2 linked regions of the Cricetulus griseus genome follow. The protein of the gene in region 1 purifies or fractionates together with the protein of each later gene. This does not show direct contact. Links are inferred from orthologs where the notes say so. Each region holds a gene or a part of one and is shown in the gene's direction. Other genes may lie near its edges.

What was found.
Region 2: the proteins of Kifbp (region 1) and Kif14 purify together in Homo sapiens (affinity purification with mass spectrometry; 3 studies listed by BioGRID and IntAct, counting the BioPlex papers as one, with this or other methods). This does not show direct contact. The link is inferred for Cricetulus griseus from reciprocal best matches to the Homo sapiens genes KIFBP and KIF14.

Annotation. Positions count from the first base shown.
Region 1 is NW_023276806.1:274,629,557-274,645,579, forward strand, and holds the end of Kifbp (KIF-binding protein), read left to right. Parts: intron 1-846; coding exon 847-926; intron 927-1,202; coding exon 1,203-1,386; intron 1,387-3,948; coding exon 3,949-4,033; intron 4,034-5,606; coding exon 5,607-5,722; intron 5,723-8,700; coding exon 8,701-9,576; 3' UTR 9,577-10,298; downstream 10,299-16,023. UniProt on the Homo sapiens protein: Activator of KIF1B plus-end-directed microtubule motor activity. Required for organization of axonal microtubules, and axonal outgrowth and maintenance during peripheral and central nervous system development.
Region 2 is NC_048598.1:52,728,084-52,744,551, reverse strand, and holds the end of Kif14 (kinesin-like protein KIF14), read left to right. Parts: intron 1-1,061; coding exon 1,062-1,229; intron 1,230-2,445; coding exon 2,446-2,565; intron 2,566-4,784; coding exon 4,785-4,859; intron 4,860-6,145; coding exon 6,146-6,278; intron 6,279-6,701; coding exon 6,702-7,075; 3' UTR 7,076-8,993; downstream 8,994-16,468. UniProt on the Homo sapiens protein: Microtubule motor protein that binds to microtubules with high affinity through each tubulin heterodimer and has an ATPase activity. Plays a role in many processes like cell division, cytokinesis and also in cell proliferation and apoptosis.

The DNA of each region.
Region 1 (16,023 bases):
GTGCTGGGATTAAAGGCGTGGCCTGCACTAAACTTATGCAGATTTTTAAAAGAGTCTTTTTAGTAGACAAAACAATATTCAAAATATCAGTATTCTACTAAAGTGAAGTATTATGGCTTATACCTGTAATTCTGGCATTCAGAATATGAAGACAGTAGCATTGATAGGACACTGAGGCTACCCTGGGCTACATAATGAGTTCTAGGCTAGCTTGAGCTGCAAAGTGAGACCTGCCCTTTTTTTTTCTTCTTTTTTCTTTTTTCTTTTTTTTTAATGTACATTGGTGTTTTGCCTGCATGTATGTCTGTGAAAGAGCCAGATTCTCTGCAATGGAGTTATAGACAGTTGTGAGCTGCCAGTGGTTGCTGGGAATAGAACCTTGATCCTCTGGAAGAGCAGCCAGTGCTCTTAATCACTGAGCTATCTCTCCAGCCCCAAGACCCTGTCGTTTTGCTTTTTGTTGTTGTTGTTGTTTAATTATGTATCTGGGACTGGAGAGATGGCTCAAAGGTTAAGAGCAGTGACTGTTCTTCCAGAGGTCCTGAGTTCAGTTCGCAGCAGCCATATGGTGGCTCACAACCATCTGTAATGGAATCTGATGCCCTCTTCTGGCATGCAAGTGTATATGCAGGCAGACACTGTGTACATAATAAATAAATCCTAAAAAAATTTATGTATCTGCTAGTCTCTAGTCCTAGCTTAAAGGGCCCTGAGTTTTAGGCCAGCCTGAGTTTCGGAGGTCCTTGGTGAGGCTGTCTCAGAAAGAGGTCATTTCTCCAGTCCCTCCACAAGAGAGTGCTCTGGGTTTGTGTTTAAAGTTGAAAGAACTCTGTTCTTTAACCACAGATTGGGAGTCCGCCTCTTGACCCGACTGAGCATTTTCTTCCTGAAGAAGAGAAACTTACAGAACAAGAGAGATCGAAAAGGTTAGTCTTCATAGAGACACAGGGTACCCCATAGTCTCACTGGGTGCTTGTTCAGGAATGCACACATGGTGTTTGCTGTTTCATGGCACTCCTCCAGGATACACTGTGGATTCTTTTGTGCATTAAAACCTCCACAAGTTACATGCCTTTGTTCAACTCTGAGACTGTTTGCCTATTTGTTGGATAGATCCAAGGGCCAGCTCAACTCAAATCTCTATGAAATTTCCTTATAAATTGTAAACCATTATGTAAGTCAGGGTTTTTTTCCCTTCACAGATTTGAGAAGGTTTACACTCATAACCTGTATTACCTGGCTCAAGTCTACCAGCACATGGAAATGTTTGAGAAAGCAGCTCATTATTGCCACAGCACACTAAAACGCCAGCTTGAACACAATGCCTATCATCCCATGGAGTGGGCCATCAATGCCGCCACACTGTCACAGTTTTACATCAATAAGGTCAGTATCCCAAACTAGCTCTCCAACAGCCTAGATGAAGACAGGTCCAGTAGTGCTGTCAGAGCAGGTAGCTGGCATTTTATTGCTTAAAACTTGGTGTAGAATACAGCCAGCTATGCTAGCAAAACAGTATTGGAGTGCTTTGATGCATGAATACTTTTGAATCTTTTAAAAAAATAATGTTTTTATTTATTGAGAATTTCATGCAATGTATTTTGATCATGTTCTTTCCCTTCCCCCTACTTTTGAGTCTTTATTTTTTTAAATAATTTATGTAACTTTATTTTATGTGCATTGGTGTGAACTCAAGTTACAGACAGTTTGTGAGCTGCCATATGGGTGCTGAGAATTGAACCCAGGTCCTCTGGAAGAGCAGTCAGTGCTCTTAACCTCTGAGCCATCTCTCAAGCCCCTGAATCTTTAAAGTGCTGATTTTGTCATACCCCTATGTGTTGCTAGATGACAGGTTACCTAACATCAGTTCCGTCCAGCTGTTAGCACCCTTTTCATTTCACTTTTGCTATGTGTTACCTTAAATTGCAGATTTTTATCTTGCTACAGATAAAACTTTATCTTCATGTAATGCTAATCTTACAACTATGAGAATTTGTCTGAGGAAGTTGACAGTTAAATGTGGGCTTTGATAAAAGCATGTGATGTGTTTCAGTTGCTTTTCAGAGTTAGCTGCTCTCTAATAATCATTTTTGATGTTGAATCCATGCTGAGTGCTAGAGTTCCAGGTTTATGACATACTTCTGAACTGTCCCAAAGAGACAAGTTTGAACTCTATAGCTACTTGTCCAGATCACTTCTCATTGTGTTGTATTTTGAGTACACCCATTTCTTTTCCAGTCCTTTAGTTTCTAACACTGACCACACACACACAGACCGCCACTCTTTTTGGGAGGCAGGGTATCGATGTGTATCCCTGGCTGGCCTGAAACTTGCTATATAGACCAGAGTGGCCTGGAACTCAAAGATGTCTGCCTGCCTCTGCCTCCCAAATACTGTGACTAAAGGCTTGTGCCACCATGCCCAGCAGCAGACTGATTTTTAGTTCTGATTCACAGCTCTGACGTCTGGTAGTTCTCAGCCTGTCAGCATCCTTCTTTCACCTCTGGTGGCCTGCTGCCTTCCCCTCAGCCTTTTCCTTACTAAGCCTGTTAGCTGCTAAGATCAAGCATGTAGTCTTTTTGCATTCAATCAAACAACTCCTGTGACTCCATTTCATCATGGCCATCGAGAGACCCCTCTGCTGGCTCCTTCCCTAATATGGTTTTAGTTAACACCTAAAACTCCTTGGATATTTATAGTACAGAAATGTCTGGATCGTGAACATGTGACCTTAAGTTGTTAAACATTACTTCTGTGGAACATGCGGTAATTTTTGTGCATCTCTCCTGCACCCCACACCTGTTGTTTTTGGTTTTGTTTTGTTTTTTTGTTTGTTTTCCCCCATATCACAACCAGCTAAGTTCTGTCACAAAAAGAGAGATTTGAACTATGCTTGAAAGTGATGTTATTTGCATTGTTACCAACTCCATCTGTTGCAGTTTTGCTGCTCTTCAAGTCCCACATTAACCACCTACCCACAGGGCACAAGGCAGTCTCTGTCTTTAGCAATGGCTGTTCATAGGAACAATCTAGGCAGAGCCAGAGTGGTAATGATGGTTGAGACACTGTAGAGGGCCAAGTAATGTTTCTTCATGTGAGCTGCAACTGTCTAATGATTGGGGATTTCCTACCAACACTTGATAGGCCAGCAGCCTATTCATACCTATGGTACCCAGCTATTCTTTACAATAACTCTGAATTCAGTGTGAAGGCAAGATGTATGACTGTTGAAGTTCTACCAACCAAATCAGTCTTTCAGACTTACTGATACGAAGCAGACATTCTCTCTAATGAGGGCGGCTTCCATTCAGAAAGTAGACTTTAACTTCAATCTGTTGGGTGATTCTGCAGTTTGCATGACAGATGACAAGTTTTTGGTGTTTGACACAGAGATGTTCTTGAAGTGTTTGAGAAGTTTTCTGTGCCCGGATTTGCATCTTGAGTTCTTCATGAGTATTGACAAAGTCATTCCATAAAAGTTCATTTGTAGAAATCTTTTGACCTGGAAACCGGATAGGGAACATCATTGTCTTGCCACCTCCCTCCAAAGGTTTTAAAAGACAGGAATGAGTCCTCAGTACTCTGACAGAATGTAAATGGTCTAAGAATGAACTGTGCATGGGGCTTTGCCTATTTACACTGAACCTGGTGTGTGGTAAGGCAATTGGAGTATAGGCTGCTCCATGTTCCTGGTTGCAGGAGGAGAGTGGACTGTCAGTCTCCAGTCATCTTTCCATCAGCTTGGATTCTTATCAGGAGTGTGGGATATTGTTAGTTTATTCTCTGGGGTAGCTTTTTTACCAGATAATACTGTCCATGGCAACACTACAGGGCCCCATTAGTGGGGTACTTTTCCTGACAGTATAGTGTTCCCCATGTTAGTAGATACTGTTAATTGTAAACAAGGCTTTGTCATAGTTACATTTGTTCTTGCTTCTTTCCCAACAGCTCTGCTTTATGGAGGCCAGACATTGTCTGTCTGCTGCTAATGTTATTTTTGGTCAAACTGGAAAAATCCCAGCTACAGAAGACAGTAAGTTGGTGTGCATTTCATGATACAGTTTCTCACTGTGACAGTCTTGACCTTAGCTTTCTAAGGACTGCCAATGACAAGTGTACATACCTGGCTTCTATATAATTACAGATCTATGTGAAATTCGGAAACTTAGTTTTCTTTTTTTAGATTGATTGATTTTATGTGTATGTGTGTCACCTGTGTGCATGGTGCCTGCAGAGATCAGAAGAGGGTATCTTATTCCATAGAACTGAAGTTAGATGGTTGTGAGCCACAGTGTGGGTTCTGGGAATGGAACCAGGTGCTCTGCAAAAGCAGCAAGAGCTTTTAATTATGAAGCCCTCAAATTTGAAACTGTTTTAAGCTTTAGAAAAGTGTAAGAACAGAATTACAATATATCTTCCTTTAAATTCATCATTTTCAATATTTGTGAATTCACACACCCACACACATTCTCTCTCTCTCTCTCTCTCTCTCTCTCTCTCTCTCTCTTTCTCTTTCTCTTCCTCTCTCTCCCTCTCTCTCTTTCCTTCCCTCTCTCTCTTTCATAAGACAGTTAGCAGCTTCAGGAAATGCAACACCAAGACAGTCCTTCTGTCTGCAGTGCCTATTTCTGTCATCAGTTGTCCTCTAAGTCCTTTATAGTGATGTACTATATGATACAGCTCAAGACTGCATGTTGCCTTCAGCTGTCTCTTTAGTCTTCTTGTCATTGGGGCAGTTCCTCAGGTTCTCCTGCCCTTTCATCGCATAATGTTTTGAAGGCTATTGCTGGTTACTACATTGAATTCCTGTTTCTTGGGGTTTATGAGATGTTTCCTTTTGCCATGATTGACATTTTGGTCAATATACTACTTTTATAAGGGCTGTCTCCTCACACTGTCTTTCTTAATTACAAAGGTTTTGTTTGGTTGCTTCTTTGTGTGTGTGTGATGCTAGGGACTGAAGCAAGGGTCTTGTGTGCGCTAGGCAAGCACAGAGGCTGGGGGAGGTTGGGAAGAAGGGGGAGAAATGACGGTGTCCATTGTTTGCCACATGCTTTCTGTCAGCATACAAAAATATTGTTGGATATGGCATTTGTCAAAAATATTTGGCAGTTTTATTTAAAATATTTTAAATTGTGCAAACTGCTTGGCCTAGTAAATTCCATTTCTAGGAACCAGTCCAGACTCTAGATAGATGTATGTGTAGGGATCTGTAGCCTAGAATTGTTCATAATGGGAAGATCTGGATGGAAACAGTATGTTCTCTCTACCAGAAGAATGCCTGGAATAGGAAATACCTGTTTGATTGTGTGTAATATTGAGTTAAAAATAAAGCTCAGGAGTTGGTAATGGTAGGGTCAGAATTTTCGCGACATACTATATGAAGAAAAAACTATTCAAAAGTAAAAATATGTTGTGACCTTCGTTTTTACTTAACCCTGACCGTAACCTAAGAAAACTAGGGAGGATCTGCAGCCTCACTGCGCTGAGTGCCTCATGGCTCAGTGAGCGTCTGCTGCTGTGTAGTCAGGAAAAGGTGAAAGAACAGAGGACAGTGCACCATGCAGACAGCGCTGACCATGCTTACAGCCCGCCTGTGCTTTCAGCTCCTGAAGCTGAAGGAGATGTGCCAGAGCTTTACCATCAACGGAAAGGGGAAATAGCAAGATGTTGGATCAAGTACTGCTTGACTCTGATGCAGAGCGCCCAGCTCTCCATGCAGGTATGCACATTGAAGTCACCTTCAGCTTCCAGAGGGGCTCATCAGGCTCACTGTGGGTGGGTTTTGTTGTTGTTTTAGTTGTGTGGGTGTGTATATTTAGGTGCCTGTATGTACAGATGTGGGTGCACGTATAAGCTTGTCTATGCAAAGGAAAGCAGAGGATGACCTTGGTTTTTTTTAGATAGTCTCTCACTGGACATGGAGCTAGGTGATTAGTTTAGGCTGCCTAGTGGGCCAGCAAGCCCCTGGGATGTGCCTGTCTCTGCCTCACCAGCACCTGGATTACAAGTACTTGCCACCATGCTCAGTTTTTTTGTATGGGTCCTAGGGATCCAATCTGGGTCCTCATGCTTTCATGACTAGCAGTCTCCTGACTAAACAACCACCTCTAGCCCTATTTGTATTTTTTTTATTTTTAACAGTCTCACTTCATAGTTTAAGCCAGCTCCTCCCTCAACCTCCAGACTGACAAAACCTTATAGGTTCAAGACACAGCCAATGCAGTGGTTAAGTTTAGATATAGGACCAGCCACAATAAGGAGCTTAGCTCCAGAGCTCTGATGTGAGCCCAGTTCTGCCACTTTGTAGCTGTGTGTTTTTGGTAGTTGTCTTTTCCTTCCTTCCTCCCTTCCTCCCTTCCTCCCTTCCTCCCTTCCTCCCTTCCTCCCTTCCTCCCTTCCTCCTTTCCTTTTCTTTTTCGAAACAATTTCTCTGTGTATAGCCCCTGACTGTCCTGGAACTCATTCTGTAGACCAGGCTGGCCTTGAACTCAGAGATTCACCTGCCTCTGCCTCTGTCTCCTGAGTGCTGGGATTAAAACCAGCCACCACTGCCTGGCTGTTCTGGTAGGTTTTTTGTCTTTGTTTTTGTTTTGTTTGTTTGTTTGTTTTTTGTTTGTATTTTGGTCTCTCTGCCTCCGTTTCCTCATAAGCAAAACAGAGATGGTAGTGCCTGCTTAGTACTGTCGTGGTGAGAGTTAACATATGTAAAGGCCTCAGAAAGTGTCTGAGTGTCTAAGGCAGGACTGGTGAGCTGGCTTAGCAGGTAAAGGTGTTTGCCACCAAGTCAGAGTTTGCTCCTCAGGACCCACATTACAGTAAAAAAGAATCAACTCCTACAAGTTGTCCTCTGACCTCCTCGTGTGCGTACACATACAGACACACACACATAACACACACACACACACACACACACACACACACACACACACAACACACACACACACACATCTAAATAAGTCTAATTTGAAAGAAGAGTATCTGAAATATACTAAATCCTCACTATATCTTCATCATTCTTACTAATCTACATGGGACCCTTGTTCCTAGACACAAAGAAGGAATATAAAATAAATTACCTGTAGACACATTAACTTTCCTGTTACTGTACTTTTGTTTTTCTCTTTGTGTAAACTGAAATAATTATAATTGTAAATAATATAGAGCTAATAAAGCTATAAAAATAACAAATCCAGAAGCATAAATTTTGAGAAAAGGGGATTTCTTTTTGGAAAATGCAAGTAAAGACAAGACATTCTGTGGTAGTGTGTCTACTTAGCATGCTCAAAGTCATGGGTTCCGTCCCCAGCACTGCATAAATGAAGTCTTGTCATGCAGGCCTGTAACCCTAGCACTTGGAGATAGTTCAGGACTATCCTTGCCTTCATAACAAGTTCAAGACCAGATTATCCTATAGGAGACCTTGGCTCAAGAGACTTGGGAGGAGTATGTGGGTGCAGTGGGGAAAAAGAGAAGAGAAAAAGTATCAGAAGATGTCTGGTGCCAGATAGGTGGTACATGTGTGTAATCCTTGCACTCAGAGGCTGTGAGGTAAAGCCAGCCTGGAGTTCCATGGGTGCCCGGACACATGGCAGTCACTAGCTCACTCACTCACTCACTCACTCACTCACTCACTCAGTCTCTCTCTCTCTCTCTCTCTCTCTCTCTCTCTCTCTCTCTCTCTCTCACACACACACACACACACACACACACACACACACACACACACTTAAGTAAAAATAGATAAATCTTGGGGAAAACAATATTAAGACCTCAGTGGTCCAGTACAGTGTCCCCCCCATAGAAGAACAGTCGCTCAGCATGTTCAGAAAAGGTCACAGAACCTGCTTCAACCTTGTTGCATTTTCGTTATTTGTTTAATTTAGGTTTTTTTTCATTTAATGCAGTTAATTAGTGAATTCATTTATTTTGGATGTGTATATGTACATATATGTACATGCATGGAGGGGGCGTCAGAGGACAGCTTGAAGGACTTTGTTCCCTTCTTGTGTGTCACAGGGTTCAAACTCAGGTTGTCAAGATTGGTGGCAGACACCACCATATAGTATATCCTGGCCTGGAATTCACTATGGAGCCCACTCTGGCCCCAGACTTGTGGCCTTCTCCCGCCTTAGCCATAGAATACTGTAACTACAGATGTGAGCCATCTGCCCAATGTCAGATTTTACTTTTAGGTTGACTGTTCGGATCCTTCTGTATAGACCAGGCTGGCCTTGAACTCGCAGAGGTCTGCCTGCCTCTGCCTCTTGAGTAAGGTTTTTGTGATTGTTTTAAGATTTAATTATTATATCTTACATTTATTAGTGTTTTTGCATGTCTGTGTACTACGATGCTCCTGGTGCCCATGGAGGCTAAAACAGGGCATCGGCTTTTCTGGAATTGGATATAAGGGTGTTTATTAGACAGCACATGAGTACTGGGAACTGACTAGGTCTTCTGCAAAAAAGCCATTTCTTCAGGGCCAACTCTTTGTGAGACTGGGCCTTGCTGTGTATCGCCAGCCAGCTTGGAATATGTTGTTTAGTCCAGGCTGGTCTCCATTCTGCAATCTTCCTGCCTCTGCCTCCTGAATGCTGGGGGATTACAGGAGTGCTCTATCACATAGCTAGCTGAGGTTTACTCTACAGTTTTATTTGACAGCAGATGAGTATCCTGTTTAACTATGATTTCTCCTTTTAGGACAACATTGGAGAACTTGATCTTGACAAACAGTCGGAACTCAGAGCATTAAGGAAGAAAGAGCTTGATGAGGAGGAGAGCATCAGGAAAAGGGCTGTACAGTTTGGAACTGGCGAGTTGTGTGATGCCATCTCTGCAGTGGAGGAGAAAGTGAGATACTTGAGACCGTTAGATTTTGAAGAAGCCAGGGAACTTTTCCTTCTGGGTCAACACTATGTGTTTGAGGCAAAAGAATTCTTCCAGATTGATGGGTATGTTACTGACCATATTGAAGTTGTCCAGGACCACAGCGCTCTGTTCAAGGTGCTCGCATTCTTTGAGACTGACATGGAGAGGCGATGCAAGATGCACAAGCGCAGAATAGCCATGCTAGAGCCCCTGATTGTGGACTTGAATCCACAGTATTACCTGTTGGTCAACAGGCAGATTCAGTTTGAAATTGCACACACTTACTATGACATGATGGATTTGAAGGTTGCTATTGCAGACAAGCTCAGGGATCCTGACTCACACATTGTGAAAAAAATAAATAGCCTGAATAAGTCGGCACTCAAGTACTACCAGCTCTTCCTAGACTCCCTGAGGGACCCAAATAAAGTGTTTCCTGAGCACATCGGGGAGGACGTTCTCCGCCCCGCCATGTTGGCTAAGTTCCGAGTAGCTCGTCTTTATGGCAGAATCATCACTGCAGACCCCAAGAAAGAGCTAGAAAATTTGGCCACATCTTTGGAACATTACAAATTTATTGTCGATTACTGTGAAACTCACCCCGAGGCTGCCCAGGAAATAGAAGTTGAGTTAGAACTTAGTAAAGAGATGGTCAGTCTTCTCCCAACAAAAATGGAGAGGTTCAGAACAAAGATGGCCCTGACTTAAGGGAAGGAAACATACAACCTGAATTCCCCCTCCACCCCATAATGAGCCAGGACTGGCTCCATGGTAGCCTTCAACACCGGAGCTAGAGGAAGGCGCTTGAACGTCAGATGCAGCCAGGACCTAAGTCAATGCTAGGACCTTAAGCAACATAGTTAATTCATAATTTATACCTAATTATGTAAATTGCCTTGCTAAGTGACAGGTGTTTTGCATTTTGATCGCTTGTTTTCCTGTTTAAATATTAACATTTCCTGCCTTGATTTCTAACTGTTAAGTCCTCTGCTGACTAGTACTTGTTGGATTTCACACTAGAAACAACACAGGTAGTGTGCCTGGTCGAAGAACCTGTTACTATGATGAATTTGAGAAGGCTACTACCTATAGTCATTCTTTGTAAAATACTTTCTCAAACTCCTAAATAAATCTTTCCCTTTTAAAAATACTAAAAATTTAAGTTAATTAAAAATGTTGTAAAACGCCGGGCAGTGGTGGTGCACACCTTTAATCCCAGCACTTGGGAGGCAGAGGCAGGCAGATCTCAGTGAGTTCAAGGCCAGCCTGGTCTACAAAGCGAGTTCCAGGACAGCCAGGACTGTTACACAGAGAAACCCTGTCTCCAGGGGGTCGAAAAGTTGTAAAATGGTGTATCTTAATTATAGAACGAAAAGCCTTGCACCTAATAAATTTACTTGTTCAACTAGTAAACACTTCTATTACCCCTTTTTTTCTTGTAAGAATGTTTTGTGTGTATATGATGTCTGTGGGTCATGTATATGCAGTTTCTATGGAGGCCAGCAGGGGGCATCCGATTTCCCTGAAACTGGAATTACAGGCAGTTGTTACTGCTATATGGGTACTGGGAACCAAGTAAGCCCTGGGCCTCCAAAGAGGAGCCCGTGCTCTTAGCCATTGAGCCATCTCTCCAACCCATTTTCTTATAAAAATTGGCCTCATTTTTGTCATCTTGAAGGAATTAGCTTATTCAGAGCCAAAGAATAATATTTTAATGTTTTATTAGTATATATTAATTATTCACAGTAATAGATATCACTTTGACATTTTTGTATACATATATATTTCAGTCATGCTCCTGTTATCTTCTCTTGTCCCCCTCCCATTTCCTCAGTCACCTTCCTCAGAGAATAGTTCTTTAATAACGTTGCACATTATAAAATAGAAAACCTTACTGACTATAGTTTATCATCAAAGAGTCCTGCTGTAGTTATACACCACATCATAATTGTCATCAAAATTACTGCTGTTCATATGTGCTGGTCATTTAAAGAAATGCAGAATTCAGGCCTAAGGGTGTGGCTGAGAGGTCGGAGTGCTTGCCTAGCATGGGCAAGGACCTGGCTTGCACTGTCAGCATCCTGGAGGGTGGGAAGGGGGATCGGCTCACAGTCCGGATCAATTGTAAGATTTGCTATAGAAAATAGCCCTGTATGTGCATTTGCTTGCCTATTAATTTGTGTCCTAAAGCTCTTAAGATTTCATGATGTTTCTTTTTTTGGTTTTTGTTTTTTAGAGACAGGGTTTCTCTGTGTATCCCTGGCTATCCTGGAAGGCTCTCTGTAGACCAGGCTGGCCTCAGACTCACAGAGATCCGCCTGTCTCTGACTCCCGGGTGCTGGGATTAAAGGCGTGCGCCCCCATCACTGGCCTTCCATGATGCTTCTTATGGGTGTGTGTTTATATAACCATTGTGCTTTTCCTTTGAGATTGGGTTGCCGGGGAACAAATCTTTGCATAGCAGTCAGTGTGTAGGATTCAGTTAGAATTTCACCAGTCTTCACTAAAGTGCATGTGGATCAGGCTCTATCCTCATTTTCTTAGCTTGAAATGCTGGGGTGAGCAGAACAGGGCCCTGTGCTCACAGAGCCGATAAACAGAAAGCAAGGTACCTTGGGGCTGAGTGAGGAAAATACAGTGCTAATGCAAGCATTTGTGGGAAGGAGTGCTGTTTAGCTGTGCTGATTTGGAAGGCCTGGACAATGTAGAGACCCAGAGTGGAAAAGTGAATGAAGTAGAACCCATATAGTCTTTATTAGAGTGTTCCAGGGATGCTAGACTGAACAAGCTTGCAAAGGAGCCTGGCACTTCAGAAGATGTGGAAGGAATGGACCTGAACCAGGGGTGGGTTAGGAGGGGCAGACACCAGAAGTCAGATGGAGGGAGCTATGCAGGTTGGGGACAGTTTGTTTTTTATTCTAGGTGCAATGGTTCCTGGAATTTTAGCATGAGGACTGGCCAATCTGATTAGAAATTCTAAGAAAACAGCTCTTATGGTCTGGGAACATGGCCTAGTTGATAGAGTGCTTGCCCAGACTCCTCAGAGTCCCGAGTTCAATCCCAGCACCACATGAACTAGATGTTGTGCTCCACACCTGTAGTCTCAGTACTGAGGAAGTGGAGGCAGGAGAATCATAAGTTTGAGGTCTTTTTTAGCTGCCCTCTGAGTTTGGGACCAGCCTGGGTTATATGAGACCCCTTCTGAAAGAGAAAGGGAGTGAGTAAAAAACTAGCTTCTGGGGGAAATGGGTTGATACAGTTGATCCAAGTCAGAGACAAGGTGGCTTGAACCAGGGTGATGGGGCAGAAGCAGAAGCCATGGCCCTGCCAGAGGTTTCTGAGGGAGGAGAGTCAGGAGCCACAGTGAGGAAGCACACAAGCGAAGTGTAATTTTATGTGGGGTTAGAAGCAAGAGTTCTGTTTAGGTCATATTGAGTTTAGGATGGTAAGCCTGAGATGAAATAACTGCTCTTCAATAGTTTTTCACAAGACCATCCTTAAAAGGGAATGGAGGAAGCTCGAAGGAGCTAAAGAGGGCAGGCAACTTGTTGAGGAGAGATGTGACAGGGAACTCGCCCCTCTCTGTCGAAAGCCTTCCTTTCATGCATGATGATGTTCATGAGTGATGCTCATGCATGTCTATGCACATGTGTGTGGTGTCCTCGGAAGTCAGAAGAGGGTGTCAGACACCCTGGAACTGGAATAATAGATGGTTGTGAGCCACCATGTGGGCTCTAGGTACCAAAGGGTCCTCTGCAGGAGCAGTAAGTGCTCTTAACTGCTGAGCCATCTCTCCAGTGTGCCCCCCACCCCCAGGCCTTTCTTGGTACGGTTATTTTCGTGACCTCACTTCAGTGTTTATACATTTAAAAAGTACCTGCGGAGCTTTGAGTGCTGCTACACTTGGAGAATATGCTCAAACTCAATGGCTTTTGTCTTTGCCTTTCTTCTCTCAGGCAGTGTTAACTGGATCTCGAAGGGTACAAACACCAAGCAGAACAGGCAGTGACCATAAAACTGGTCTTCATCTCTGTCGACATCAACATACCCTGCTCTTTGTCACTTGCTCTCTGTGGCTTTTCAGGCTTTAAGACTTTGGTTATCAGCAGAAATCTCAGCGCCGTGTTCACTTACTCCTGGCACACATCTTCTCCAGGCGCTCTGCTTCCCTGGAGAGTACTGTTTCAGATGTTCTGCTCACAAAGCAGGGGGCCCTTTGTACGACATTACAGAGCAGATAGCAAAGACCATGGGGTTATGGGCTTTAAAACTGTACATTCATTTACTATAAAAGTTGAGCACTCATTGAGAGGCAGGTCTAGTTGAACCCTGTATTTCTTAGAAAACGAAGCTAGTGGGTTCTGGCAATATAGTGCGAATGGACTGTAAGCACCGTGACTAAAATTCTTCACAAGCTACCAAGTCAGGTAGAAATGAAAAGAAGGAAAATTGGCCTAGAACGCCACCTTATCCAAACCGAATTATAACTATACAAAGGTTTTCAGTTACCAGTTTTGTTTCTAAGTAGCTGTTCCAGAGTTGACAGTCTTTCTGTAGCCACTTTGAGGATGTGCTCATTTATCAGAAACAGTTTCTAAGGCCAGGCGTTGGTGGCCCACGCCTTTAATCCCAGCACTCGGGAGGCAGAGGCAGGCGGATCTCTGTGAGTTCGAGGCCAGCCTGGTCTCCAGAGCGAGTGCCAGGATAGGCTCCAAAGCTACACAGAGAAACCCTGTCTCGAAAAACCAAGAAAAAAAGAAAGAAAGAAACAGTTTCTAATCTTGAACTGTAAAAACAGAACCCTCAGTTGTTTGGACAGCAATAATATTTTTAAATGACCCAGTACATATGGATGCATTTGTTTGTCTTTTTTTTTTTTTTTTTTTTTTTTTTTTTTTTTTTTTTTTTGCTTATTTTTAGCCTTTAATGGCTGAGTCATCTTTCCAACCCTTGTTTTTTGTTTTTTGTTGTTGTTTACTTTTTTGTTGTTGATGGTGGGTTTTTGTTGTTGTTTGTTTTTGTTTTGGTTGTTTGAGACAGGGTCTCTCTATAGTCCTGGCTGTCTTGGAACTTACTGTGTAGACCAGGCTGTCCTTGAACTCACAAAGATCCACCTGCCTCTGCCTCCCAAGTTTTGGGAATGCTGCTTTTCTTTTGCTATTGTCCTCAACAGGAGGTAGTTCACTTGGCCTCACAATGGATGCTGTGACTTTGAATGCATGCCAATCCTCCTGTCTCATCCTCCCAAGTGCTAAATTATAAACATGCCATTGGCACCCTGTAATACATTTGCATTGTAAACATTGGTACACAGATGGGCCTTTTGGTCATCCTACCAGCCAGAGAGAGAGGCTCTGAACAAGGGAGAAAAAAAAAGAGCCCCGATATCTTCACCTCTTTTGTTTTTAAAATTACCTTTTTTCTTTTCTTTTCTTTTCTTTTTTTTTTTTGTTTTGTTTTGCTTTGTTTTATTGAGACAGGGTCTCAATATGTAATGTAGCTCAAGCTGTCCCAAAATTCACTATGTAGACCATGTTGGCCTCAAACTCACAGAGCTGTGCCTGCCTCCTGAGTGGAATTAAAGGTATGTATGTACCACCACACCCAGCTAAAATTATTTTTCATCATTTGTTTGACGTGTTAGAACTTTCTGTGCATTAAGCACTGTGCCCACCATTGTACTGTACCTCCAGGCCCTTTTAGTAGATTTTGATAAAATCTGGGATAGGAAAACAGTTTTAAGAAAGTATCCTGAGGCCGGACAGTGGTGGCACAGGCCTTTAACCCCAGCACTTGGGAGGCAGAGGCAGTTGGATCTCTGTGAGTTCTAGACCAGCCTGGTCTACAAGAGCTAATTCCAGGACAGCCTCCAAAGCCACAGAGAAACCCTGTCTCAAAAAATAAAAAAATAAAAAAAGAAAGTATCCTGAAACCTACTGTGCACAAGGTCTTCATTCCATCCCAGCACTGCACAGACCCAGTGCACACACCTACATCCCAGCACTTGAGAGACCCGAGGCGGGAAGAACAGGAGCTCAAGGTTGCATTTGGCCGCACAGTTAGCGTGCATGTAACCGTTTAATCCAGCTAGACTCTTCAGGCCCTTCCCTTTCTCAGGAAGGTCATGACCCAATATTACATTTTTATCTACAGGAAATGACAAGGTTATATAATGTTCTATGTAAAACTGGGGCTGAAAAGTACAGTTAAGAAACCTGAGGTGCCTGCTGGGTGTGGTGAGCTGCTGAATGTGCTGTGACCTGCAGCCGCTGTCTCCAGCTCTATCAGTGCAGAGCTCTGGCTGGCTTCCTTCTCAGTGTCTCACTTGGGGTTCCTGGTGTCTTTGTCTTTCCTGTTATCAACAGATTTGTCACTATCAGTCATCTCTGATCTAGTCACCCAAGAGCAGTTCTTCAGAGACTCAGAAAATGGCATGCCTCTAATCCCAGCACTCAGGAGGTAGAGGCAGGCGATCTCTAGGTTTGAGGCCAGCCTGGTCTACAGAGCTAGTTCCAGAACAGCCAGAGCTACACAGAGACACCCTTTATTGAAAAACCAGAGTGGGGGGGAGGGAGGCAGGCACAACAGTGGAAAGTCTTAACAGGGAAAACCAAATAATGCGCTCTGTCTCCTGCTGCTGCTGCTGCTGGTGTGTGTGTGTGTGTGTGTGTGTGTGTGTGTGTGTGTGTGTGTGTGTGTGTGACAGGGGTGGCTTTATGTTTAAGGACCTGCTGTCCTTCTATATAATAACTAAAGAAACATGAACTCTGCTTCTATGCAATTTATCATTCATTTCTTTTTTAATATGGTGCTCATAAGATTTAACTCCCTCCCCACTTACACATTAAGGGAAGTGACTCCCAGCTTGTCAGAAAATAGCCTGAATTTTACTCGTTGAAGATGTATCAAAGCCCCAAGTTGTAAAAAGTTAAGTAATTCGCCGGGCGTTGGTGGCGCACGCCTTTAATCCCATCAGAGGCAGGCGGATCTCTGTATGTTCAAGGCCAGCCTGGTCTCCAGAGCGAGTGCCAGGATAGGCTCCAAAGCTACACAGAGAAACCCTGTCTCGAAAAACCAATAAATAAATAAATAAATAATATTTTAAGCATACAAAGTAATGTGTTTCATTATGGCATTTTTCTACATATGTAAAAA
Region 2 (16,468 bases), on another chromosome or scaffold:
CTCTGCTCAAAAGAAAAAAAATGAAAAAAAGGACGAAGAAAAGAAAAATTGATGAGAGAGAGAGAGAGAGAGAGAGAGAGAGAGAGAGAGAGAGAGAGAGAATATATCTGGTGGAGTCTGTACCATGGAATTTCTTTCCTTTTCTTTATTTTCCGGGAAGAAGGCTTTGAACTTGACTTAAGAGTTTCAACACACATGCTTGTGAGACACATTCTATACAAGGAATGAAGGCTGGAGACCCGGGTGACTGGGATTGGGCTCAGGAAGACTCGTGTGAAGCCAGTGCTAGCCAGCATACTTATCTAGTAATGTGTGGCTTGGCACCTTGTAGTGGTATAATGAGTGTCTTCCATATAGCAGGTCAAGGCGGGCACTGTCAGAGCCACAGGAGAGAGGACCAGAAAGAAGAATGTTCCTGTGCCTTGGAGGCCTGGGCACTGAGCGCATATGGGAAGGCTGTCATTTAGGTGTTAACAGGACAGTTAAAGCTGAAAGGCCAAAGTCACACCATTTTGTTCCTCTTCCTGACATTTCCTTACCAATCCTGTCTTGGGTCCTGACATTTCCAAGTACAAAGTTACTTGCTTTACATCTCCCTTTACTGTGTCAAGTCTTTGAGGGAGGAAGAAGCTGGCTCTTCTTCATGAGTAACTTCAGGGCTGCATGCTTTCAGTTTCTCACGTGCATTCCAGTGGTTGTTACATTATGAATTTTATTTTGATGTGTATGGAATTTCCTTGCATGCATGCCTGTGTTCCACATATGTGCCTGTTGCCCTCAGAGCACAGAAGGGGGTGTCAGATCCTCTGGAACTTCAGTTCCAGAAGATTGTGAACTACCTATTGTGGGTGCTAGGAATCAAACCTTGGTCCTCCGGAAGAGCAGTCAGTACCCTTAGTCTACTGAGCTCTCTCCAGCTCTGTTGTTATTTTTAGCTGGTATTGGGGCCTTAAGGGCAGCCCCTCATGCTTGCTAGCTTCACCCACTATCCCTTTTTTCTTTCTCACCTCTTAAAAATCTCATATATGTATATACTGACTGATTGATTTTTATTTCATTAGGGGTGCTGTTCAGATATTTCATCAATGATACAAGAGGCTCAAAACAAAGTCGTCCAGATTATACAGCAAGCTGCTCAGTGTGTGGGTCAGCTAGCCGTTTTGAAAGGGAGCAAGCTTTGTCTTCTGGAGAATAGCAGCAAGATTCCTGGCGCCCGGGTAATGTCTAATGTAAGCTCTAAAAGACTTCTGCGGGGACATTAGAGATTTCTGATAGCATCACTGCACAGAATAAGTTCATTGTACTTGCAATAGTTTGGCAATGACTTAATAGTTTGGTCAACATTAGATAAAATAAGTCTGGGATGTACCTCCGTTGGTATTTTGCATAGCATGCATGAGTTTGAGCTCTAGCACTATATAAAGGATGTGGTAGTACACATTTGTAGTCCAGCCTTAGGAGGCAGACAGGAAGATCAGAAGGACAAGATCATTCTTGGCTATTGAGGCCAGCCTGGGTTACATGAGTGCCTTTCTCAAACAAACAAAAATGATTAAAATATGATTGGATGATTATAGGTCTTTACAATCCTTTCAGAGCTAGGCAGTGGTGGCACACACCTTTAGTCCCAGCATTCAGAAGGCAGAGGCAGGTGGATCTTTGTAAGTTCAAGGCCATCCTGAACTACATAGTGAGTTCCAGGACAGCAAGACCTTGTCTCAGAAAGCAAACAATCCTTTTGGTGCTAGGGATAGGGTGCTTGCCTAGCACTTAGGGGTTGAGGATCGAAGAACAGGGACAGCTTGGGCTAGTGAGACCAATCTCAAAAACATCAAAAGATGTTCCTTTTGTTCTATGGTTTGATGACTGCTATCAACTGTGGAGCGTGGTCTCATCCAGTTTATACATGGGGAAAACAGTAACTATAGAATATTTGTATTTGCCCACCTTGTTTATGCTATAAGCAATACTGTATTAAAATGTATTATATCCTAGCAAATAAGGTCCTACCTAAAGTGGACATTTTTTCCATAGCACATGGAATACTAATTTTAATTTTGTTAGTTTTATTTCCCTCATGGATTGTTCTCATACTAACTTTAGCTGAATTTAATAAACTGGGAATGAATTATATCTTCATTACCATGTAATTTTGAAGAGTATGTACATGAGATGGGTAGTGGTGAAGGTGCTAGCCATCAAGCCTGATTCCTCAGTCCATCCCTTAGAGCCACATGGTAGAAATAAAGAAGCAACTCCTGCCAGTTGTCCTGTGACCCCCATGTGCGCTCTCTCTCTCTCTCTCTCTCTCTCTCTCTCTCTCTCTCTCTCTCTCTCTCTCTCTCGCTGCCTCTGTCTCTCTCTCACACGTACACACAATGTAATCAAATTTTAATGTGTAAAACCTGAGCTTACCAGCTCAGTGCCTGACCCTTTTCCTAACAGGAGTTCACAGCTGCCCTCCAGGATGGCATGGCCTTGGGGATAAAAAGCCTCTTAGCTTCTGGGCTGGAAAAAGTCCAGGACCTGGAGGGAAACCTCTCACGGCAGAGTGCACATGAGGAGGTAAGATGGGTGGGGTGATACACTTGATCTTAAAAATGGTTTTATTTTAGGATGTATATTGTCCAAACTTCTTTAAATGTCCAAATGATAGTGTGATGCAGTGGGTTCTATTGTGACATGTTATGTATTTTAATTTGTGCTGAATTAGTTTTTAAAGAAGAGGCAGAGACCAGGTCTATGGAGGGTGGCAGCAACACCTACTGTCCACTCTCTGGACGTCCTTCTCAATCTTTCTGTTGGGTTTTTTACTCCTCTGCCTAAAAGCAGAAGCCATCACTTATGGATCCAATCATCTTGAATTAAGTATTTTTCCAGGAACATTCACACCAGTGGTTTCACACCAAGACATAGACACAGAACCTAGTGGAGATGTCGGTGACGTCCTCCAAGTGCTTCTGCCTCCTTCCAGACACTGAAGCACGAGCAATGCTAGGAGTGGAGGCTGGAGAGACACCCCAAGTGTTCTCGTAGAGGACTGCACCCACATGGTGGCTCACAGCAGTCTGTAACCCCAGTTTCTGGTGATCTGATGCCCTATTCTGCCCTCTGAGGGCATTAGCCACGTATGTGGTCCACAGATATACATACAGGCAAAATACCCATGCACATAAAATAAAACTTTTAAAAATTAAAAAAAAGAAATATTAGAAACAGTGGCTGGCAAATTCTAAACTGCTGGTCTCGATTGTACGTTTGCATTCTCTGAATATGTCTGCCTCTCTTGATTGTGTGTTTTGTTCTTTTGTTTGGGCACGTGCTTTTAATTCCAGCACTTGGGAGGCAGAGGCAGGTGGATCTCTGTGAGTTTCGAGGCCAACCTGGTCTACAGAGTGAGTTCTAGGACAGCCAGGACTGTTGCACAGAGAAACCCTGTCTTGAAAAACAAACAAAAAAAAGTCGTAAGAGCCTGTGGCAGGGGCTGGAGCAGTGACTCATTAGGTGGGTTTGAATCTCTGCACCCACTTCAGGCAGCTCACAGCCACCTCCACTCCAGCTCCAGAAGATCTCACACTCTCTTCTGGCCTGTGGGCACTGACCTCATGTGTGTTTGCACACACACAAATAAAATAACAATCAGAATTACATTATACTTTTTAAAAGGACCTATAGCAAAAAATGGAATACCCAAGAAGTAGAAAAATAGTAAGAGAAATAGAAAGTAGACTAATAGAGGGCTGGAATTATGACTTCAAAGCTGGGTTCTTGAAGTAAAGAATTTAGGTATACCTACATTCTTTTCTTCTTTTGGGAGATAGTCTTACCTTGTAGTTCTGGTTGGCCAGGAACTTTCTTTGTTGTCCAGGCAGGCTTGAACCTTTCAGTAATCCCCCTGCCTCTCACTCCATGGCCTACTTATCTTCTTACTGTAACAGCAAGTTTGAGCTGACCTAGACAAGAGCTTAGTGAAAGCCAATTAAACACAACACTGAATCCCCTTGCAGAAGCTTAGTTCCACCTGACGGGGGCAACAGTGAGCAGCAGAAAGCAACTTTATTGTTTAGTCTGAGTCACACTGCTTCTGAGAGCTAGGGGTTACTGTCCGGGATCTGATTCTCAGTCTGCAAGATGGGAAATGCCATAGGCAGCATAAGGTTGTAACTGAGAATCAGATCAAACTTGTAATGTTCTCGGAGCATATTTGCTTAATAACTCACACCCTCACTTCTGAGGGAAATTTTGGGACGTTCATCCCTATAAATATTTAAATAAAATGCAGGCATCATTTTGGTAGCAGACATCAGATTTATGTTTTATCTTATTTATAATCAATTTTACATTTTACTATATTTATAATTTATAAAATATGTTTATAACATGTTTATGTTATTATTATTATTGCATTGTGCATGTGGAGACCTGCATATCACATATATGTGGCAATCAGAACACAACTTTGAGAAGTCAGTTCATTCACTCTTCCCACCTTAAATGAGGAGTTCCAGGATCAACCTTAGGTCCACAGGCTTATGCAGCAAGTGACTGCCTCTGCTGAGCCCAAGTGTGGCTTTTTTGATATGGAATCAATGTCATTTATTTCGAAGGAAATTCCATTCGCATGATTTAAGTAGTCTCAAAGCCATTTTCTGCTTAGCTCAGAGATGGAACTTCCATCTCTTATGGATTCTAGATTAGAACTCTGTCTGGTCTCACACAGGTCTAAAAATGATATGTCTCTTGATGACTGTTTGTATAACAAAATATTTTAACATTTTCTGTAGGTCACCAGGCGGATGAAGGCTAATGCTGTGGAACTGGTCAGGTCTCTGGCAAACATCTTTGCTGAATGGAGACTAGTAAGATGGGCTTTCAGTCAATTTTTGTTCACATTTGCTTCAGTTGTAGATCTTTTTGTTTCCTTGGCGTCATAGCTGGAGACAGCTATGTTGTGCATGTTAACAGAGCACGTGTGTTTCCTAGGTTTCCTTTTGGTGGTCTTACTGCACTCGTGTTAGTAATAGGTACACGATGGCACAGGAACTTCCCAGTGCATCACCTGGTTTGTAGTTACTGGCATAGGGGCTGCCAGCTTTTTCTTGAGTATAGTCATTATAGGCTAAAAAACCACTTTTTATAATTAATGTGCTCAAATAGTGTCAAATAGAGTTAAATTCAAGTAGTGTCATGTCACAGATCCACTTTATAGAAAAGGATAGAGGGGATAATCAGGCCTGGAAAGGAAAGTAATGCCCAAGCCAAAGAGTATTTAAGTAAAGTCAATATTGAAAGTAAATCCTGTGAAACTGAATTCTTTGAGGTTAAATGTTAGCTTTTATGGTGTTGGGTACCATGGCGCTGTTGCTTCATTCTGTTCCTATGTGCTAGTAAATTCTTACTGCTTTTTAAAAGTAATCAGTGTGAGCAAATTGAGAGCACAGGAAGAGGGGGGAGGGAGCTATGAGAATGAGAAGGGAAGAAGAGGAAGGATGCAGAGGTCATGAGGGAGCAGAAAGCTTGAGTCAGGGGAAGAATAGAAGAAAGGATATGTGATAGGTAGGGTTTTAGTTGGGGGGGTGGTAGGGGAGGACGGGAGGGAGAAGGGAACTGGGATTGACATGTAAAACAATCTTGTTTCTAATTCAAATAAAAAATCTGAAATGAAAAAACAATGAACAAAAAAATTTAAATACTCATAAGCATCATGTCAAAAAAAAAGTAATCAGTGTTCAGCCGGGCGTTGGTCACGCATGCCTTTAGTCCCAGCACTCAGGGAGGCAGAGGCAGGTGGATCTCTGGAGTTGGAGACCAACCTGGTCTACAAGAGCTAGTTCCACAACAGCCTCCAAAGCCACAGAGAAACTCTGTCTTGAAAAACCAAAAAAATAAAATAATAATAATAATAATAATAATAATAATAATCAGTGTTCATTTTGTATTTTTATCTTGCTTATAGAAATGAAGTTATACACTGGTGAGGAAATTAAACATTTTCAATATAATTTGTTATTAATGTAGTTTCATTGTCATAATAGCATAAACAAACAAATGATAAATTTCTGGGCAATTAAGATCATTTTGACTAAATTTGCTGCCATGTAATCTATAATATCTATATTTTTAAATATAAATTTTGTTTATACAGAAAAGCTTCAGAACTCAAGTACAAGAAAATTCTAGACAACAAGGTTCCAAGATGTTAACTCTTGCATCAGAATTCTTGAAGTTAAAATATTGCTTGGAGAAAACTATTGAGATTATTACATCTGCACTGAGAGGTAAGTGACCCAAGTGGGATCTGGAACTGGAACTGTGTAATCCAAGGACCCACACATGTCTGTCTGTCTCCCTCCCTCCCTCCCTCCCCCTCCCTCCCTCCCCCCTCTCTCTCTCTCTCTCTCTCTCTCTCTCTCTCTCTCTCTCTCCCTCTTGCAGCCTGAGCTATAACTAAAGCTCACTGAACATTACTCCAGTGAGATTAGTTACCAGTGTAGGAGCTTGGGCTGTGAAGTGCTGCGTAACACAAGGCTGCACTTCCGCCTGTACAGTCAGGGAAGTCGAGTACCTGTCCAAGAGGCAATCAGTGGTTTGGTGTGTCATGTGGGCTGCTTTAACTTAAGAGACCCCTAGAGTCTATGCAATGGTAATACCTGCTGGCACCTGGAAAGGGTAACCCACTTTTTCCTTTCCCTCTTGTGTAGGGTGCCCCAGTGACCTGCATTGTCTCAGAAGCTATACTGAAACTCTCTGCGGCCTGGCTCACAAACTTCACAGTGACTTCACTGAGCCCCCTGCTTCTGCTGGCAACTGTGGGAATAAAGTACCTCGGGCTGATTATGGAGAACTAGAATCTCTAGCCAAATCACTCCTCTTGTGTTTTGAATGTGGAGAAAGACCTGGTTTGTTGCAACCCCAGGAGTCTTGTAATCAAAACAGCAAGGAAGAGCAGCGTGAGGCAAGCGGGGCTGACTGCAGTAGAGGCTTGCCAACACAGGCCTGGGAACTACCCAGAGACCCAGTAGCCCCCGAAGTGTCCTCACAGGACTGCACTCCCAATAGGATCCAGTGGGTGTGAAACCATCACATATGCTCCTGGTGACCGTTCATAACCAGAAAGAACGCTTGCTGACACTTTTCCTCACATAGGAGACCATACAAAGAAATGGATGCAAATGTTTAGAGTCTGTGTCTATGCATAGCTTCCTGTCAGGTGTGGGTAATGCCAGCAGTATGGAGTCCTGATTTCAAAATGCCTTGGTGTGTGCTCAGAATTTTCTAAGCAGACTACTTTCAAACAAGGAGTTTACCATGTTGGAACAGTGGCATTAGAATGAAATTAGGGTCTCAGGACCACGTGAGTGACTGTGTCTCCAATTTCCCGTTGCCTTGAATTCTAAACGCCAACCTTGAACACTGAGATACTGTCCTGACTGGTTCATTAGTCTGTTTGTAGATGTGTATTTTCTCATGAATGGAAATCTGAAAAGTTTGTTTCTTTCCCCCATATATTGCATAGAAGATTAGGCTTATGGTGAAATTCTCAACACAAGTTTAACTAAGGCAGCTTACTGCAACTCTTTCGAATGGTTAACTGTTTGCCACCTTCAGTAATAAATGTATAATCTGTGTCTTTTCAAGCCGTAACCACCTAAAGATAATATAATTACATACTATGACTAGATAGCATTATAATTTATGGTGTTATCTATGTTCCATAATGGGGCTATATTCATAAAATTTTAAAATAGCATCACATGGGGGATCAGAGGCTGGCCCTTTTTTTGATAGTGCTTGTTTTGCCAAAGGGAAATTTGTTTACATGTTGTTCAATGGAGATTAAAGATCCTTGTATTTCACAGCTTTAAAAACTCCTTCACCTACAATCAAGTAATAAAGATAATATCCTACTTTAGGGTTTAACTTAAGGAAATAGTTTAACATTTTGACCACAAGAATATGTATAATTTGGGCTGGAGAGATGGTTCAGTGGTTAAGAACGCTGGCTGCTCTTCCAGAGGTCCTGCGTTCAATTCCCAGCAACTACATGGTGGCTCACAACCATCTACAATGAGATCTGGTGGCCTATAGGTGTACATGCAGGCAGAACATAATAATAAGTAAATATACATAATAAATAAATCGTAAAAAAAAAAAAAAGAATATGTGTAATTTACGAAGATACATAGTATCTTTGCCTGGGTGACCTAAGCAGCTCCTGGAGAGATTCTCTTTCGCTTGTGGGTGCTACTTGTCAATGCTACATTAATTGTAGCTGGGTGAAGCCGGTTTGAGTACACCTGTCATTTTCTCTGGGGGAAAGACTGTAAAGTAGCCTGGGGTGGTCAGCCAGGCAGTGACACGTCTGCTTGTGGTGCTTTGAAGTGGTAAAGTGTGGTCACCAGGCCTCCCTGGGTGCACCACTCCTGTCTCATGTAGCAACGCAAGAGATTTGTTTCCATTGCCTTCTTTTATTTTTGCCACGTTTTCTTTCTGAGGTTCACTGTGGATGGGTCAGTGTTCTGGAAAGTAGCCCTTATGTTACTATTTGACAAACTGAAGTACACAGAAAGACCTGTCCTGAAGGTTGTACTTCCTCGAACTCACCAATTTACCATAATTAGCCGGAGATTTCACCTTGCTGCACAGCAGTTAATCTTCAGTTTCTCCATCCCTTCTCCCTCAGTTTTTTCTGTCTTTGAGACATGGTCCTGCTGGGTAGCCCAGTGTGGCCTATCCCTGTTATCTTGCTGCCTTCACCTCCTAAGTGCCGGGGTTATAGTGCACACCCCAAACCACACTAGTGTCTATTCTCTAAACTCATGTCTGTCCTCAGAAATGTTTCAGGTATGCTTGTAAGCTTATTTATATTTATGCCGGATAATTTGTTATACTGTATTTGAGTGAATGGTGTAAATATGTCGCTGTTAGAATCATGTGCACTGAAAAGTGTTATAAAGAGAGTGCTTTAATAAATCTTGTGAGCTTCAGAATTGCCTCCTAGTCCAAAATCTTTTTATTGAATTATTGTCATTCCCTTTACTCCTGATTCAGAAATGTCACAGTAGCTCTGCCTGGCTAATATCTCTCCTAATTTGCAAATCGAATAAATAGGAAGCAGTAAACGAATGCTAAAATTATTGTGGTTACTGTGCCACTTTGGGAGCCAAGGACTGAATCCAGGTGGAACACTGTTCCACCCTCTTGAGTTGGTTGAGCATGGAAGAGCCTTACTTCCCTGTTGAGCAAGTGCTTGGAAGCTGTGCTTGTTTTTTACATATTTGAAAGCTGCATTGCAGGCTGCAATACAGGCTACACAACCTCAAGGAGCTAGCTGCCTCATCCCTGGTTCCTCATCTGCAGAAGGAAAAGTCCCATGGACTGTGTCTGTAGTCACTAAGTGGGAGAGAGGAAGAATGGCTCTTGGCCAGTAGTAGGTGATAAGCAAATGTTAGCTGCCCTTCCGTAGCTAGCTGCAAAACCGTGTTATACAAACAAGATCATGGTGGATGCGGTGGCACACGCCTTTAGTCCAGCACTTGGGAGGTAGAGGCAGGTAGATCTCTGAGTTCGAGGCCAGCATGGTCTATAGAGTGAGTTCCAGGAGAGCCAGGGCTATGCAAAGAAACCCTGTCTCAAAAAACAAATAAGCAATACCACACTTGGTACAAGCAGATGCCAGTGTACGAGTATCAGAGTCCTTGAAGCATGGTGTGTTTAAAAGTATATCCACCTGCACTGGGTTCCACAATAACTGATATAATATAAAGACAGTGAATTCTATAGTGTTTACATCATCTTCACGTATCTTTTGGTGTGTGTATACTGCAGTTGCCCAATCTGCTCAATATTGTAATGTGATGGTTAGTTTTAATTTTCAAGGTGGCACATTTAGAGTCTCCTGGGAATGGACTCTCACTAAGGGATTATCTAGGTCAGGTTGGCCTGTGGACATGTCTGTGGGGGGTTGTCTTGAGTACATTTAGTTGAGGTGGCACTAGTCCCTGGCAGAGGATTCTGAACTGTATAAGATGGAGAAAGTGAACTAAGCTCTAACATGTGCATTAATTCATTGTTCTCTGCTCTTGACTGGGAACAAATGAATAGCTGCTTCCGGTTCCTGCAGCCTTGACTTATCCGCAATGATGGACTGTAGCCTAAAGGTAGCCGAATAAGCTGTCTCCTTTAAGTTGGCTTTTGTCGGGGTGTTTCATCATAGAAAAGAAACTAGGAGCAGTTAACGGTTTCCAAAATGACATCCTTGTGCAATTCCCTTTAGTAATTTTATTATAAAATGTATCACATGTCAACAGAGTAAAAGCATCCTTGTGCCTGCTTCAATTCAAGCTCCAGGACTTTGACAGTAGTCATGAACACTCATGCCTCAGGCAGGGGTGTCTGAGTGCAGGCCTTTGTGTGTGAGCAGCTGCCTTCTTGCCTGTAAACATGGGGCTTGGTAGGTCCTGGTGGACCTAGGTTGCTTCTCTTTGTCTCTACAAGCTAAACTGAACCCACTTTGAACTTATTCTTTCCCAGTTGGTGCCCTTATGGGCCATACATCACCAGCACGCTTTCCTGAGAGGACCATTGCCCCAATCCATCATCCAGGTGAGTGGGGGCTTTCCTAATGTATTGCTCTTATACATCAATGTGGTGGGCGGCAGCTCCAGTAATCTATTAGCGTGATACCCCATTGGGTGAGGCATATTGATAGAGCAAAGCTGGTCAATCTGTGAATTGTGGATATCTAGGAGTCTAGGTCGAGAGAGCAATGCAGATCTCAGGCTGGATTGATGTGGCTATGAATGGTATTTTATGATGTAAAGTTTACCTCTGATTTAGAAAGTAATTTAACATTGGTGACAGCCTGGGTTCAGGCAGGGAAAGGTCAACGTGGCAGATATCTGGAGCTCTTGGAAGATGTATTCCAGGAATAAAGTACCGTTGTTGATACTTCTATTTCATTTTGTAATATGTCATTGGGGGCACCAGAAAATTGGCCCGAGAGTAAAGTTTTGCACATAAAGCAAAACAGGCTCATTCTGCTGCCTTTCAGGTCAATAAATATGCAGGAGTGCGGCCTCTGGAAGCCTGTGGCCATCAGCTTTCACTGCTCAGAGCTGCTTTCTCAGGGTCTCATTCTTGACCCTGATGTTTATTAAACAAAGCAACGGTCAGTGTATCACCTCTTCATGGCTCCTGCAAGGCTCTGGAAGCAAGCAGAAACAGTGTCTGGGCAGAAGAACAGGGGTACAGAAGACACAAAGGCAGCCCCCAGTGAATGTCCAGTGGGGACTGGAAAGGGGACACATTGTGCTTTTTTTTTAATATGTATGGATGATTTGCCTGTGTACTGTGTGTCTGTGTACTGCACGTATGTCTGGTGCCTTTGGAAACCAGAAGAGGGCATCAGATTCCCTAGAGCTAGAGTCATAGATAGTTATGAGCTGCCATGTGAGTGCTGGGAATCAAATCTGGGTCCTTTGGAAGAGCAGCCAGTGTTTTTAACCACTGAACCATCTCTCCAGCCTTTTGACCTTTCCCCCCACTCCAAGTGATAAGATTATGTGGCAGCTTCTGACTAGGCAGAGGAAGAATGTTCTGGTGACTCTCAAGTGGTCCATAGCTTCATTCCATATTAGTCCCCCTTCTGCAGTTCCAGACAACTCTCTCTGACAGGGTTAGTATTTGTCTTGACTCTCATAGGATATATTGTTAACATTGTCACATTTTGTTATTATTTACTACTATTCATCTCTTAATGTGCCTAATTTATGTTACTTTAGCACAGGTATGGGTAGTTATAAAATACATTTGTTATATATGTAATATCTATACACGTATAGGGTTTGATATTATTCATGGTTCTGGGCTTCCATGAGGGATCTTGGAAAACAAACAAACAAAAAAAAACAACAACAAAAAAAACAAAACCATGGACTACAGCATAAAACAATGACAGCAATCTCTCATTAAACATCACTTACTCATATCACTAGTAAGTAACAGCCTACATCAACTCAGGTAATCTTTAAAACAATCGTGTCAGTTAGGTACTGTCTTAGTGTTCTATTTCTGAGAAGAGACACCATGACCAAGGCAATCTTATAGAAGAAAGCACTTAATTGGGGTTTGCTTATAGTTACAGAGCACCTGATCCTGTTCAAAAGAGATTGCAATGTTAGGATACTCATTTTAATATGTGTTCTGCCCCCATCAGATAGAAAACCTTTGTGTGTTGGTTACTTTTCTGTTGCTGTGATGAAATACCACAGTCAAAGACAACTTAAAAAGTAAAGAGTTTATTTATCATTATTCTATGTGCATTGTTGTTTTCCATGGGTGCCAGATCCCCTAGAACTGGAGTTAGAGACAGTTGTAAGCTGCCATATGGGTGCTGGAAATTGAACCCAGGTCCTCTGGAAGAGCAGCCAACGCTCTTAACCACTGAACCATCTCTCCAGCCCCCCAAAATAAAGCATTTATTTGGGCTTAGTTTCATAGGGAGCGTGTGTAATAGGGGAGGTGTAGCAGGCAGCCAGGCCAAAAAGCTGAGGGATCCCATCTTCACCACAAGGCAGAGACAGCCAACTGCAAGCAAGACAAGGCTATACTCTCAAAGTCAGCCTCCAGCAAGGCCCCACCTCCCAAAGGCTCCTTAACCTCCCCAAGCAGCACCGCCCACTGGGGGCTAGGTGTTCAAATGCCTGAGCTTAAGAGGGACTTTTTCTCATTTACACCACAAGTCTTTGAAAGAATGAGCATGTTTCCCGATTCTTGCCACACATGACAAATGGATGTGTGCATGACTTAGTTCGCTGACATTTTCAATTCATCCTGCTGTCCAGATGTATGGTCTGAATGACAAGAACTAGAACAGAGGTGGCACTAAGGCTCTCTTCGTAGGACAGCTCTCAAGAAAAAAGGGGGGGGGGGTTCACACAGACACTAGCTCTGGTTCCACTCAGCTGCAGAGCCCTGTTTGTTCCACCCTCATGGTCTACAAAAGGCTTGTCCGTTGGGGCAAAATACTGCCTTAGCAATAAGGAACATTTTAAAACATTTCATAAGGGCTATAGAGAGGTCCTGAAGTCAATTGTCAGCCCCTCCCAACCACCTGTAACTCCAGCTCCACAGAGATGGGATCCCTCTGGCCTCTGTGGGCACATGCATGCATGTGTACACACACACACACACACACACACACACACACACACACACACACACACACACAATTAAAAAGTCCACATATAAAACACTTTCCCAGACATGGTCACGGGCGCATGCCTACAATTTCAGCACTGGGAGCAGAGGCAGGAGCATCATGAGTTAAGGCCAGCTTGGGCTCGTGAAATCCTTCGTCAAAGCCTTTTACAACATTATTGTGATGACTAATCCTTGCTTGTCAACTTGACTACATCTAGAACCAACTAAAAGCCAAGCAGCTGGGCTCACCTGTGAGGAGAAGACCTACCCTAAATCTAGATCATCTGAGGTCAGAAGACCTACTCTAAATCTTCTGGTGACTGCCTCCCTGCATAAAGTATATGAAAAGAAGGACGCTTTTGCCTTTTGCCTTCTTGTCCTGCTCTTGCTGGTAAGTTCATCTACTCTGCTGCTGAGGCATTTCCTTCCCTGGCATTAGAGCCTACTTCTTCAGGATTCCAGTGTAGACTGAAGATCAACCAACACACCCAACTTTGGAGACTGGATCACTATCAGATTCTTGGCCTGTCTGTCAGAAGACAGTCATTGTTGGACTAGCCCGACCACAACCTGAAAGCTACTCAACAAAATCCCCTTTATATGTAGACTTATTCTAACAGTGGTTCCTCTAGAAAACCCTGACTAATGCACCTATCTACTTTATTGGGCTGGGTGTGGCAGCTGGCCCAAGGAGAGTTCAGTGACACCTCTGGATGCTGAGTTTTCCCAAGAGCTTCTGCAGTTGCTTGCAGTTGCCTGCAGGTGTCACCATTGGAACAGTGAGCGACCCACTGCTGAGCTGGTGCCACTTTTGCCTAGGGCTTTCTCAATTCCTTGCTTCTGTTTTCTGTTTGATTGATGATTGATTTTGGTTTTGGTTTTCCAAGACAGGGTTTCTCTGTGTAGCCCTAGCTGTTCTGGTCTACAGAGATCTGCCTGCCTCCTGAGTTCTGGAATTGAAGGCATGTGCTACCACTTCCCAGCAGGTACTATTTATTTTTAAATGTTTATATGCAATTATTATATGCCAATTAAAAGTACAAAAATGTTAAAGAGTAAAAACAAGAAATCCATTAGCCTTGACCAAAAACAAAAAATAAAGACAAGAGTCATAATTGAGATAAATGTTGGTCACTGTCCTACTTAAGGTTTCTATTGCTCTGATGAAACACCATGACCAAAAAGCAAGGGTTTATTTGGCTTACAATTCTTCATTGTAGTCCATTATTGAGGGAGCCCAGAACAGGAACTCAAACAGAGCAGGAGCCTGGAGGCAGAAACTAATGCAGAGGCCACAGAAGGGTACTGCCTACTGGCTTGCTCACCATGGCTTACTCAACCTGTTTTCTTTCTTTCTTTTTTTTTTTTTTTTTTGGTTTTTTCAAGACAGGATTTCTCTGTGGCTTTGGAGGCTGTCCTGGAACTAGCTCTTGTAGACCAGGCTGGTCTTGAACTCACAGAAATCCACCTGCCTCTGCCTCCCGAGTGCTGGGATTAAAGGCGTGCTCACCACTGCCCGGCTCAACCTGTTTTCTTATAGAACCTAGGACCACCAGCCCAGGGATGGCCCACCCACAGTGGGCTGGGCTCTCCGCCATCAATCAGTAATTAAGAAAATGCATTACAGCCAGATCTTATGGAGACATTATCTCAGTTGAGATTCCATCCTCCCAGATGACTTTAGCTTGTGTCAAATTGACATAAAACAGTCACTTTGGTGTTAAAAATTAGGAAGTTTTGTTTTGTTTTACCTGCATGTATGTCCATACACTACATGTGTGCATTGTCATTGGAGGCCAGAAGAGAGCATTAGACTGAAGTTGCAGACAATTATGAGTCACCGTGTGGGTGCTGGGAGTTGAACCTGGGTCATCTACAAGATCAGGCAGATCTCCTAACCACTGACCCATCTCTGTCCCCTCCTGGCTTGACTGTGACTGGTATTCTCCAGAAGTCATGGACCAGCAGGGACACTCCTGAGCCAGGACAACCATTTGTAGCCATGTGAGTCATGTGCTTACTTCCCAATTCACACAGTCCAGTGGCTGCATTCTTCATCTGAGTGGACCCAGCTGAGGGCAGGGGTTTCTTGGAGGGTTCTTTTAGTCCCTTGTTGGAGAACTAAAAGTTAACCCACCCCATACTGCAAAAGTACTGTAAAACATAACACACGGACCAATGCACTTCAGTGACATCACCTTCCTAGGTCCTGTGGCAAAGACTTCTGCCAGGCAGGACTAGCTAAGCAGACCACAGAGCTATAAAGGCTTGAGTGGCTTGCAGACCATGGAGCTGTAAATGTTGAATGACATGTACCTCTCATCTGTAACTTACCTTGATGGTCAATTGGGCATGGTGGAATTCTTATGTGTTGGGCTACCACTGATTCTCCAAAAGCCAGCATGAAAAAAAAAAAAAAAAACAAAACCACAAGAATGCCTCGGTGGTAACCCATTCCAGATCTACACCCTGAACTACAATATGTTCATGTGACCAAGAAGAAGGGTGGGTGGGGGGAGCCCAGGGGCCCAGGGACTTCAGTTATGTTTCTGGGCCCAGCTGTGTCTGCAGTGAGGGTTTGCTGGGCTGGGCCTTTTTCAGTTATATAAAGCAATTAAACTTCTATGACTAATAACCAAAATCACTACCAAACATTTGGGCTAGGGTGGGTAGGCTGCCAACGGAAGTTGCCTAAGTGATATGTGTGATCAGCAGATTGGGCAAAAGATAAGAAGTTAGGAAACAGAACAGAGTCCACGAGGCTCCTGTCTTGTGTAGTAGGACAAAGCTACCCACAGCTGGGCCCAGAATCCCTCACTGCAGGGACCTGGCAAGTAGGGAAACCATTCTCTGACCTTTGCCACCTACTGCTTGACTCAGACACCCAAGGAAGGAGCAGGAAACAGACAAGAGGGGGCTGAGGGGAAAGCCTGGTAGCCAGTAATCAGGCAAGAAGGGGCATAACTCTGCTGGCCACTTGACCAAGAAAGGGGGTAAGGCAGGGGGAATACAGAATTTCTCCATGGGGACATACAGGCTGCTTATTATCGCTACAGGCTTCTGAACTCTTTAGGGAGGCCAGGAAAATGCGTAGCCTCCATTTCTCTAGCTTTGCTTTCAGCTTAGACTCATGGTGTGGATTAGGTGTGGGGATCTAAGGCCCAGGTGGACTTCCAGGCCAATTCACACCTGCGTTTCCACCAGTTTCCAGTAGATAGCCAACCTGTGGTACAAACCCAGCCAGCCCTGCCAGGCTCTTGGATAG